Xenopus tropicalis: one gene and its partners. The protein of the gene in region 2 interacts with the protein of the main gene of each other region in a pairwise test. Links are inferred from orthologs where the notes say so. Each region holds a gene or a part of one and is shown on either strand. Other genes may lie near its edges. The genes, in order: micall1, ehd3 and rbsn.

The links.
Region 1: the proteins of ehd3 (region 2) and micall1 interact in binary tests that used the Homo sapiens proteins (3 or more experiments, as listed by UniProt). The link is inferred for Xenopus tropicalis from reciprocal best matches to the Homo sapiens genes EHD3 and MICALL1.
Region 3: the proteins of ehd3 (region 2) and rbsn interact in binary tests that used the Homo sapiens proteins (3 or more experiments, as listed by UniProt). The link is inferred for Xenopus tropicalis from reciprocal best matches to the Homo sapiens genes EHD3 and RBSN.

Annotation. Positions count from the first base shown.
Region 1 is NC_030680.2:122,117,186-122,121,564, forward strand, and holds the start of micall1 (MICAL-like protein 1), read left to right. Parts: upstream 1-1,506; 5' UTR 1,507-1,702; intron 1,703-2,029; exon of another isoform or gene 2,030-2,225; intron 2,226-2,550; 5' UTR 2,551-2,554; coding exon 2,555-2,697; intron 2,698-4,379. UniProt on the Homo sapiens protein: Lipid-binding protein with higher affinity for phosphatidic acid, a lipid enriched in recycling endosome membranes. On endosome membranes, acts as a downstream effector of Rab proteins recruiting cytosolic proteins to regulate membrane tubulation.
Region 2 is NC_030681.2:7,392,558-7,396,902, reverse strand, and holds the start of ehd3 (EH domain-containing protein 3), read right to left. Parts: upstream 2,907-4,345; 5' UTR 2,602-2,906; coding exon 2,375-2,601; intron 1-2,374. UniProt on the Homo sapiens protein: ATP- and membrane-binding protein that controls membrane reorganization/tubulation upon ATP hydrolysis. In vitro causes tubulation of endocytic membranes. Binding to phosphatidic acid induces its membrane tubulation activity.
Region 3 is NC_030680.2:132,268,588-132,272,236, forward strand, and holds part of rbsn (rabenosyn-5), read left to right. Parts: coding exon 1-78; intron 79-1,405; coding exon 1,406-2,470; 3' UTR 2,471-3,649. UniProt on the Homo sapiens protein: Rab4/Rab5 effector protein acting in early endocytic membrane fusion and membrane trafficking of recycling endosomes. Required for endosome fusion either homotypically or with clathrin coated vesicles.

The DNA of each region.
Region 1 (4,379 bases), on a different chromosome or scaffold from region 2:
CCACTATGTGTATGGGGGGGCAGGCTCCACTATGTGTATGTGGGGGGCAGGCTCCACTATGTGTATGTGGGGGGCAGGCACCACTATGTGTATGTGGGGGGCAGGCTCCACTATGTGTATGTGGGGGGCAGGCACCACTATGTGTATGTGGGGGGCAGGCACCACTATGTGTATGTGGGGGGCAGGCACCACTATGTGTATGGGGGGGCAGGCACCACTATGTGTATGGGGGGGCAGGCACCACTATGTGTATGTGGGGGGCAGGCACCACTATGTGTATGGGGGGGGCAGGCTCCACTATGTGTATGGGGGGGCAGGCACCACTATGTGTATGTGGGGGGCAGGCACCACTATGTGTATGTGGGGGGCAGGCTCCACTATGTGTATGGGGGGGCAGGCACCACTATGTGTATGTGGGGGGCAGGCACCACTATGTGTATGTGGGGGGCAGGCACCACTATGTGTATGTGGGGGGCAGGCACCACTATGTGTATGGGGGAGGGGCAGGCTCCACTATGAGTATGGGGGGGGGGCAGGCTCCACTATGAGTATGGGGGGGGCAGGCTCCACTATGTGTATGGGGAGGGGCAGGCTCCACTATGTGTATGTGGGGGGGGCAGGCACCACTATGTGTATGTGGGGGGGGCAGACTCCACTATGTGTATGTGGGGGGGGCAGGCACCACTATGTGTATGTGGGGGGGGCAGGCACCATTTTGTGTATGGGGGGGCAGGCACCACTATGTGTATGTGGGGGGGCAGGCTCCACTATGTGTATGGGGGGGGCAGGCTCCACTATGTGTATGGGGGGGGGCAGGCACCACTATGTGTATGGGGGGGGTCAGGCACCACTATGTGTATGTGGGGCGCAGGCACCACTATGTGTATGTGTGGGGGCAGGCACCACTATGTGTATGTGGGGGGCAGGCACCACTATGTGTATGTGGGGGGCAGGCACCACTATGTGTATGTGGGGGGCAGGCACCACTATGTGTATGTGGGGGGCAGGCACCACTATGTGTATGTGGGGGGCAGGCACCACTATGTGTATGTGGGGGGCAGGCACCACTATGTGTATGGGGGGGCAGGCACCACTATGTGTATGTGGGGGGCAGGCACCACTATGTGTATGGGGGGGGCAGGCACCACTATGTGTATGGGGGGGGGCAGGCACCACTATGTGTATGTGGGGGGCAGGCACCACTATGTGTATGTGGGGGGCAGGCACCACTATGTGTATGTGGGGGGGGGGGGTCACTAATGCAGGAAGGTTGTCGTTGCACTGCAAGCAAAACCAAAATCCCACAGAGTGCTTACAGCCCCCCCTGTCCCTTAGGACTCTCCACTCCAGTATATACACAATATGTGAGTCAGAGCTACCCTTCTGATGCCGGGGTCCCAAGCTAAATGCCCTCTATACCCCGAATCTAGGAGCCACCCCTACTTACATGCTCCCTTCCGAGGGCATTACCCACAGCCGAGCCGGCCAGTACAGCACATCCGCACAGAGGCGGCAGTACAGCCCCTCGCCATTCCCCGCCTCACTGTAGGAGGAGGAGCAGTACATCCAGGCGTAGACACCGACCCACAGACAGGCACCGCCCCGGAGAGCAGAAATCGGGCTGGCAATATTGAGGAAGACCGGGGAGCAGGAGCTGGGAGCCAGGCCGAAGGCTGCCCGACAGAGCCACAGGACACACCAGGTGCCCGAACACTCCAGATCCCCTTACCTAGCGAACCCCATGTCCCCATGCCCTAAAGGCTTCAACCTGCGCTGTGCGCCTCTTGTTGGACTACAGCTCCCAGGATCTCCCCTAGGGAGTAGTATTTATACGGAGAGCTGTTTGTCACAAATCCATGTATTAATGTAGATGTGTATTGCGTTACTTGTTCCTCCAGTGCCCCCCTAACAGCCCCACCCCCGCTAGTCACTAACTTTTCCGTGTCCTCTATTTGCCCCCTCATCCCCAATCGCCTCCCCTTACTAAGAACTGCCCCTTTGCCTTGTGCAGTTGGTCCTTCTTCCATCCCTAGCCTGACATTGCCTTTTATAGTGCCCTGCGGTGCCAGGCTGCATTGTGCCCAGCAGCCTCCTTTACTTTTCCTGTTATGTTATCTCTTTCCTACCTTTACTGTAATGCCTCCCCACACAGCCTGGCACTGGCACAGAATAGAGGCACAAGTATTACAGCAGCTGGGGAGTTATATGCAACATTGGAGAGACTGGTATCCTATGTCTGTTTGTTCCTATTCCTCTGCACCAATGGCCCTTTTCTTTAATTTGCCAATCACTTCTATTGCCCATGTATCTTTTTCAATTATATTGCCATTATTTTACAGTATTCCTTTAGCATGGCACAACCCAGTGGTATCCTTCACTTTGTATCAGGAATAACCAATATAATATAATATAATATAATAACCAATATATGAGTTTCCAACTGGAAGGGAGTTTGTGCTCTCTTCATTTGCTGGGATTGCAGGGAAATGTAGTTCACTAATAGCTGTATGTAAAATTCCATGTTTTAAGTTTTTTCTTCTTTTGTACCAGAATTATGTCGGCCTCACGGAATCTACAGCAGTGGTGCTCCCGGCAGTGTGAGGGTTACCCTGGCATTCTGATCTATGACCTCAGCTCATCTTTTCGGGATGGACTGGCCTTCTGCGCTCTCATTCACCGCCATCGGCCTGATCTCATGTGAGTAAAAAGAACTAACAATTCATTGTGAAAGGGGCATAATATAATATTTTCGCCAGTCACCAGTCAGGTTGTGGGATGTTTCTAAATAGAATGCACCATGATCGTGTGAAACACTGGGGTCATGTTCATAGGACTGGTGAGGGATTGTTGCCTGCAAATACAGTACCTGTGCCCATGGATGTAAAGCTACATAGAACATCTGCACTGCGCACAGGTTTTGCACTTGGGGTGTAACTAAGTTCTGTCCATATTTCATTCCTGAAAAAGGCCTTCTTTGGCTGCACATTTAGGAATTATGTTCCAGCTATTATTTCATTAACATAGGTGCAAACAGATACAGTTTGTTCCTAGCCTTAAGCCACAGTCATCCTATATTAAATTATCATCTTGTTAGAATAGCTGTCCACTGTGTGTAAATTATATGTATATTAGACTAGAAGGTGAGCGTTAAGTTCACACCTACCCCCTAAGGCTGCTGGCTTTGTTCTGACTAATAGGTTATTACTATTGTCCTTTTTTATCTGACCCCTTGCCCCTCTATGTGTGTGTTTACAACCCACCCAAGCCCCAGTGGGAAGTTGCTGACATCTTTTGACCAGGGATGACATTGGCAAATGGGAATCACCAGCTGTGGCAGGCAGATTGGGCAGGGCTGTGTCAGAAGCCCTACACTGCACAGATTTCTCAAAAATCCTTTACAGTTCTCTAGGAAATGTGGGAAATAGTTAGCATTCCCTTATTGTTGAATTATGTCAATGGTTAGGGATTATGGGTGTTTGAGTTTTTCAGTACCTGCAATTTCTGACAGTCGCCTGTCATTATTCTACATGGTTTCCCCAAAGAATAAAACCACAATGCACGTATCTCGACAAATAAGCAAATCTTTGCCCAGTTTGTTGAGTCAAATTAGGCCAGTGATCAGATCACATTTGGGCCATGTCCGGATATCCTAACTTGAAAGGATTTTGTAGATAACCTAATAAATACCTGTCTGAACCCAAGTCAAATATTGGTTGAGCCGTCATTTATGCACTATAAGCCTATAAGCTGCCAACTTGATCAGGATTCTATGTTTTTCTCCCACATTTAAAAAACAAGCTTCTTTAGGCTAAAGTCAGACATGGTGTTTTCTCTACCAGTCAAAGGGTCAGTTAACTATTCACACATTTTGCCCAGAAAACAGTCATGTTTATAGTGACAAGTAGATTCCATTGAATTTAATGGCATGGCGTTATTGATATAATTGCCCCCTGCCAATGGAGAAAAATCCTCCCAAATGAAAAAATTCCATGTCTGACATTAACCATGAAAATATAACATGTTTTGGAGTGTGGGAAGAAATTGGAGTCCTCTGAGGAAACCCACAGTTACATAGGAAAAACAAGCTCCTTGCACAGCTCAGGTCAGGACTAAACTCAGGACCCCAGTACTGCCAAGCTGCAGTGCCAACCACGGAGTCATTGTGCCATCCCAGTTCTCTTTATAGGCTGCGCGCTCATTTTCCCTGCCTATAAATAGGAATTTCTTACTGTCAAGCAGTTTCATTCCTCCGCCTGAAAATCTGATTCATGCTCACAAGGATATGTGGCAATAACAATTGCAATGCTGTCACTACTGTGCCGAAATCAAACATTTCTCCTTTATGAGTTAATCTCTTACAGAAGTTGTACTCTGATTAC
Region 2 (4,345 bases):
TATCTTCTCCTATGAGAGTCTAAGTCTAATATACATGTAAATAAACGGAATTTGTATTTAACATTTTATAGTAATAATTAAAATAAATGCCCTTCCTAGTGATGGGGTAATGGCAGATTCTGTTAATGCCTATAAGAGGGGCCTGGATGAGTTTTTGAACAAGCAGAATATCCAAGGCAATTGTGATACTAATACCTACAGTTAGTATTACTGGTTGTATATATAGTTTATGTATGTGAGTGGATAGATAGGTAAGTATAGGCTGTGGGTGCTGGGTTTACTTGGAAGGGTTGAACTTGATGGACACTGGTCTTTTTTCAACCCTATGTAACTATGTAACTATAAATGTAATCATGTCATTATTATTAATGGAGACACTGATATCCACCAACATTTGTGACAATTTTTATCCCTGATTTATGATGAATTTTGGAAAAGCCCCGCCCATTTGATTCCAACACAAAAAACGAAATATGGAACCAGCAGGTACAGAAACATGAGAAATACATGCGATGCTTGATGTAAACTCCGCTCAAGCTCCCAGCAGTGCAGTAAATGAACGCCAAGCGCACCCTCAGCACATTTTCCCAACTCATTATATATTATAAGTGTTTCATTATGTGTTTTGTTCTGAGCATCAGTCCTCTGAGAACCCTACAGAACTACATTAAGATAATTACTAACAGAACCATAAGTGGCACTTGGTCCATATAAAATTGCTCTAATAGCACGGACGACCTGTGTCTCTTGTGGAACTACAACCCCCAGCATCCCTCATATGCCAAAGATCCCCACCAAATATATTTTTTTATGTTGGATCAATAAAATGCATGTTTTGCAGAGTATACTGTATATTTAGTTAGTTCTACGGGGGAAAAGCAACAGCCAGGGTGTACAACTGCCACAAAGCCAAAAGTTCTACAGGGCGTCACGCCTCCTTTCCATCACCCACAGAATATGCTTGTGCTTTGCACAAATGGATGGTTAGTCCATCAGCCTTACCCATCAGGCCCACATTAGGGAACCCATCGGCCCTACCCATCAGTATGACAGTAAAAAGCCCATTGTAAGGAGCCTGTAAGTCATACCATTTAGCCTTACAGCTGTGAGCCCACCAGCCCCAGCCAGCAGTTCTACAGAATTTTACTCATCATCGCTACACCAGTCCATAAGCAAAACCATTAGCTTAATAGATAGGAGCTCCGTTAGCCCTACCAATTAGCCTTATATTAAGAAGACTATCAACTCTATCCATCAGTTCTAAAGAATAAAGCTTTGTTAGCACGAGAATGCAGAGCCCATCAGCCCTACAGAACTGAAACCACCAGCCCTAGAGAATGGAGCCCATAAACCCTAGAGAACAGAGCCCATCAGCCTTAGAGAATGGAGCCCATAAACCCTAGAGAACGGATCCCATCAGCCCTAGAGAATGGAGCCCATAAACCCTAGAGAATGGAGCCCATCAGCCCTACAGAACTGAAACCACCAGCCCTAGAGAATGGAGCCCTTCAGCCCTAGAGAACTGAAACCACCAGCCCTAGAGAATGGAGCCCATCAGACCTAGAAAATGGAGTCCATCAGCCCAAGAGAACAGAGCCCATCAGCCCCAAAGAACTGAAACCACCAACAGCCCCAAAGAACTGAAACCACCAGCCCCAAAGAACTGAAACCACCAGCCCCAAAGAGCTGAAACCACCAGCCCTAGAGAACTGAGCCCATCAACCCTAGAGAATGGAGCCCATTACCTCGATAGAACGGAGCCCATTAGCCCTAGAAATTGGAACCCAACGGCCCTAGAGAACAGAGCCCATCAGCCCTAGAGAATGGAGTCCATCAGCCCTAGAGAACAGAGCCCATCAGCCCTAGAGAATGGAGTCCATCAGCCCTAGAGAACAGAGCCCATCAGCCCTAGAGAATGGAGTCCATCAGCCCTAGAGAACAGAGCCCATCAGTTCCAAAGACCTGGAACAACCAGCCCCAAAGAACTGGAACATCAGCTCTAGAGAACAGAGCCCATTAGCCCTAGAGAACAAAGCCCATCAGCCCTAGAGAACTGAAACCACCCGCCCTAGCGAATGGAGCCCATCAGCCCTAGGAAATGGAGCCAATCAGCCTAAGAGAACGGAGCCCATCAGCCCAGATAATACAGTTAGTCTATAAGCCAATGCCAAGTCAGTGAGTAACTGTCGTGTAGGTGAGTGAGCAGTTTAACGTTAGCTGAAGGCTGGACATTCCTACACTATCAAATGAATCAGTGTCACAGTAGAAAGTCAACTTTCCCCCCAAAGTGAGTCCATGGTCCCATGATACGGGCTCCCTCTCACAGTCACGCTTACACTCATACTCATGCACTGAGACCCCACCAACCCAATACCTGATGAAGGTGGTCTTCCCAGTAGAGTACTGTCCAACCAGGAGCACCATGGGCTTGTTATCAAAATCCGCATCCTCCAGCGCCGGCGAATGAAACTCGTGGAATTTGTAATATTCTTCCAGGGGCAGCAGCTTGGTCTTGTAGAGCTTCCTCAGCCCATCGCTGACCGTCTGGAAGACCTCGGGGTCCTTCTTCCTTCGGTCGTCGGTCCCCAGCCAGCTGAACATGTTGGGCTGTCACGGCCAAGGCAACGCGCTCTGCGGGGAGAGATGTCCAGCGATTCCCTGGGATCTGCAGTCAAATCTGCCCTTTATATATATATTCCCACCTCAATGGACCCCACTCTTACTATTCAGCTTTGGTTTTCAGCTCTGATTGATGGGCAATCCTGCAGGGCATGCAAGTGCAAAGCTAAATGTGTCCCTCAGAGCTGTGTGCAGCAATAAGCCTTCCCCAGACCTCTCATGTCATCCCAAGCAAAGAGGAACCACAAATAGACAGCAGCCCTGTTCTCAGCTGGATTTTAACTGCCAGCTTCCCAGGAAACTGACCTAAGCCGGAAGTGCCCATCTCCTGGCAAGCCGTCCCGACTGTAACATGGGAATGAAGCCGGAGAGGGCGGGGCCAAGTCTAACGAGGTGCGGCCGGCTTAGCTCCTCAGTACTGCAGTGTAACAGGGCTGATCTGAGAAATGATCGGCATCTCCATGGAAGTGTTCGCTTGGCGACACCTACAGGAGAGAGTCTGTAATAGCACTCTGCATAGCTGGGCCCTATAAATAAACCCCCTGAGGTAATGAGGCGTTTGTTTGTCTGGGGGCCCGCAGCATGCTGGGTAATCTGCCCAATAATTACAATTACATTAGCTTTAATTTCATCATCTGATGGCTGTGTGTCAGGCTGGCCTAGCTCTCACTGCCACAGCAGGATACCTGGAGTTGTACAGGGAACTCTGAGTATCACTCATGTATTATAAGGGATAATGTACCCCCTACTGTAAATGATAAGGATATTAGCAGTCCCTGAGGGGTTCTGTGCCCATATAAAGGCACAAGGCTGCAGGCTGAGTTATACAGGGAACTCTGAGTATCACTCATGTATTATAAGGGATAATGTACCCCCTACTGTAAATGATAAGGATATTAGCAGTCACTGAGGGGTTCTGTGCCCCCCATATAAAGGCACAAGGCTGCAGGCTGAGTTATACAGGGAACTCTGAGTATCACTCATGTATTATAAGGGATACTGTACCCCCTACTGTAAATGATAAGGATATTAGCAGTCACTGAGGGGTTCTGTGCCCCCCATATAAAGGCACAAGGCTGCAGGCTGAGTTATACAGGGAACTCTGAGTATCACTCATGTATTATAAGGGATAATGTACCCCCTACTGTAAATGATAAGGATATTAGAAATCACTGAGGGGTTCTGTGCCCATATAAAGGCACAAGGCTGCAGGCTGAGTTATACAGGGAACTGTGAGTATCACTCATGTATTATAAGGGATAATGTACCCCCTACTGTAAATGATAAGGATATTAGCAGTCACTGAGGGGTTCTGTGCCCCCCATATAAAGGCACAAGGCTGCAGGCTGAGTTATACAGGGAACTCTGAGTATCACTCATGTATTATAAGGGATAATGTACCCCCTACTGTAAATGATAAGGATATTAGCAGTCACTGAGGGGTTCTGTGCCCCCCATATAAAGGCACAAGGCTGCAGGCTGAGTTATACAGGGAACTCTGAGTATCACTCATGTATTATAAGGGATAATGTACCCCCTACTGTAAATGATAAGGATATTAGCAGTCACTGAGGGGTTCTGTGCCCATATAGTAGATGGGAAAACCTGACTATTTAATGATCTGATTTTGTATTTTTCTATTTTTTATCAGATTTGTTTGTGTAAATGTATAGAAACAGTAAACTAAAGCAGAATAAATAGAAATACATTAATTGCGAGTGCGTTA
Region 3 (3,649 bases), on a different chromosome or scaffold from region 2:
CCAACTAAAGAAATATACGAGGAGCTTAAACAGAAGCGGAGGCAAGAGAATGAGCAGAAACTGCAGAGAGAGCGACAGGTAAGTAATCCTATAGTAATCTATCATAGTGCAACTGCTAGCTGTTGCTACCAACATATATCTGCTAGTTCAATTGTATGACGATTCCAGGCCCAGACTGGGATTCAAAACTGGCCTTGGTGTTCACAGAGGCCCAAACTGCGCCCACCAGCCCAATAAATAGTGACTGTCTATGGCATCTTACAGCAGCCCCTCTGGCTTTGGCCAGAACCCATAGATTGCCAGTCTGGGCCTGGGCCATCACCCCCAAACCCCATAAAAGATACTGGAAGTCATAATACTACCTAAATTATTGTGATTAAATAATTGTGGCAACACTAAAGGTCCCCATACATGCTGAGATCCGCTCGCTTGGCGATCTGCACCCGATAACCCCACCTATGGGTGGCTGATATCGGGGAGCTTTTAGGTAAAAAAAAAAATTATTCGATCATTTTGGCCCTGGGGCCAAACGATCGGATTATGTGGGCGGCAATGGGGCAGTCGGTTCGGGGGCCGCATCAACAAGCCGATACGGTCCCCGATCCAACTGGATTTTCTAACCTGGCCGATTGATATCTGGCCAATTTCAGGCCAGATATCGGTCAGCCAGGCCCCTCGGTTCTGCCGCTACACGGGCTGATAAGCTGCCGAATGGGTCCAAGGGACCGATATCGGCAGCTATAATCGGCCCGTGTATGGGGACCTTTAGCCATGTGACAGACCCTTTTAACCTACAAGGGCAAGTATAGAGAGAAGAAGGCTTTACGTTTACGTCAAGTGCAATTATAAGTACAATCTGCTTTTTTTCCCACATTCCAACATTTTTTCTTGATTTCTGGTATCATTGCAGATCCAAATGGGCGATTCTATTGATGAAGTTGATGTAGCGGCACATGTGCTTTTGTCAAATCAGGCACAGTCTATTTTCTAAATCCGACTGGCCATTGGTCAGGGTTCGCTGGCATCATTTCTGGTGTTTGGCATGCGAGTGACATGTGTGCCCTATTATTGCTGCACATGCCCTTTGGCAAAAAGACCACAAAGGGAACCCTGGAGCTACTGCCTGATAAGAAGGTTGCAGTAGCTCCAGGGTTCCCTGCCTCAATAGGCGCAGCAGTGTCTGATTTGGAATAGAAGGCAGGAAGGATTGAGCATTCTGACCCAAGCACCATTAACAAAAGTGGTGATACATGCAGCTCTCTGTCTGGAAAAGTGCAAGCTGCAGTTTTAGAGTTTAGAGCTCTAAATTCTACACTTGGCTAAATCCATGGCAGAAGGACATGTTATTTTTGTGAGTGTCTGGAGGAAGTTTCTTTCAGCAGCTTCTCTGTATTTTCTTTTGCAGGCTGAAGCACAGAAGGCCGGTGATGACAAGAAAAGGGATGTACGCAATGGTGGTCTGTCTCCGAGTGGTCAGATTCGCAAAGTTGAGGGCTGGCTTCCGACATCCGGACACCCTCGAAACAGAGAGATGTCAGACCCCCTTCTCCAGCAGATTGAAAACATCACATCGTACATCCGGCAAGCCAAAGATGCTGGGCGAGTGGACGAGGTGCAGATGCTGGAGGATAACCTTAGACAACTGCAGGAGGAGTACGACGAGCAGCAGGTGGAAACAGCCATCCAGATGTCCAAGGTTCTGGCTGAGGAGGAGGCCATGCAGAGGGAGCAGCTGGAAGTGCTGAGGAAAAGAGAGGTGAAACGCGAGCAACTCAAAGGCTTAGCTCAACACAACAGAACTCATTCATTGGATTTTAGAGAGCAGGGACAGCCAATGGGGTGGCAGGAAAAACAGACAGCAGCTCTGGACCTACAATTTCCCAAACGTGACCTCAACGAATCCCTTCCATCCCAGCGTGTTACTGAAAGCAAACTGGATGTGGAGGACTACCATGTACTTCCAAATCACTCCATGACCACAACCCCTGTTTTGCCCAAAGTGGAGAAGAGTAAAGTTACACCCTCTAACCCTTTCGAAGATGAGGATGATGAACCAGCACCTTTGCTTCCTCTCCACACACATCACAATGGTAGGAAGGAGTATAATCCCTTTGACGAGAATGATGAGAATGGCTTGGATAGTAAGGAAGAGGATAATAAACATTTAACAGCCCCTGCCTCAAGCAATCCCTTTGAATGCTCCACAGACAGTAATAGCGCATCAGGTATTTCCCAGAATCCCTTTGAAACTGATGAGGATCAGATCCCAGGAAACCCATTTGAGGACAGTGAGGAGACCCAGGATGAAGAGGTCATAGAAGAAGATCTGCTGCTGCAACAGATTGATAACATCAAGGCGTACATCTTTGATGCCAAGCACAGTGGCCGGCTGGATGAAGTAGAGGTTCTAACTGAGAATCTGCGAGAACTGAAGAAGACACTTGCCAAACAGAAGGAGCAAATTAAATAACACAGAGTGGTGAGAAAAACACCTCCATGGGGCCGAACAGCGGGTCATGCTCAGAGTTCTGGATCATTTAAAACCTTTGCAGTCCTGGGCACTTGTAGCACCAAAAGGGTTATGTGGTCAAGATTGTGGCTTTTCAGTGCCCATTCAGTTTTCATTGTCACATATAGGCTTCCAATTTGTTTCTTTTCAGTAGGCAGTAAAGTATTGCAGCTTGGTTTGTTACATGATTTCATTGGTTACATCCACTTTTACATATGAATGGGAGCTGCCAATATGCTTGTCCCAGCATCTGTCCTCAGCTGAAAGCAGCAATCTGACAGCTACCATGTCTGTGTAATATATACAGAGATAGAATGATCTTTGCAAACAGTATGGGAAGATAAATGCAAAGTCACTTATAAATAGGGTATACCACCCTTTAAAGGGCATTATACCATTAGGAGTAAGTGGTTATTATTTTCTCAGTCATCCAATGCATTGCTTCATGCTGTGATGTGTATGTGATTGATTGGGAGGGCCATGCTGCCATGAAAAACTCTAAATATCAGCCTTGGCCCCTTGTATCATATCAGCTTAAAAAAGGGCTGTAGCCTAGACCAATGTTTCTGTAAAAAATACTTTTATGCCTATACATATGTTTTCCATTAATAAGGTTAGATCTCAGAGCCACAGTCTGTCCTTATTCCTTTGTGTAAGTATAACATAGTAAATTCACACAGTGGGTCCAGTTTTAAAGTGGACATATACCCAACCCATGTGACTAGATATGGATGTAAAACCAATTTAATTTTTGTTGTTGGTTGGGGATAGTTGCCCTTTAACAAACCCATTAACAAGTGTTCATGAAAGGAGCTCATAAAACGCTATTGGTCCCAGTTAACACTAACTATGGACAACATATGTTTAAAAGGTAAAAAGGAAATAGTGGTTTTAGTACAGGGTCAGGATCTGTAATTATTTAGCACTTCAGGGCCAGTTTCAAGGGAAAGGACTGGCACGACAGAGACCATATTTTCTTATCCTTTTACCTGTCATTGATCCAGGGCTCTGCCTCATGGTATGATAACGTTGGCCACTTTATTTAATTGAATTGGCCATCACTCCGTAAATGGGCTGAAAGCTAAGAATGGAGTCCCACCTGTGAATGTGTGACCTGGGGCGCTGCTCCCGCGTGTCCCC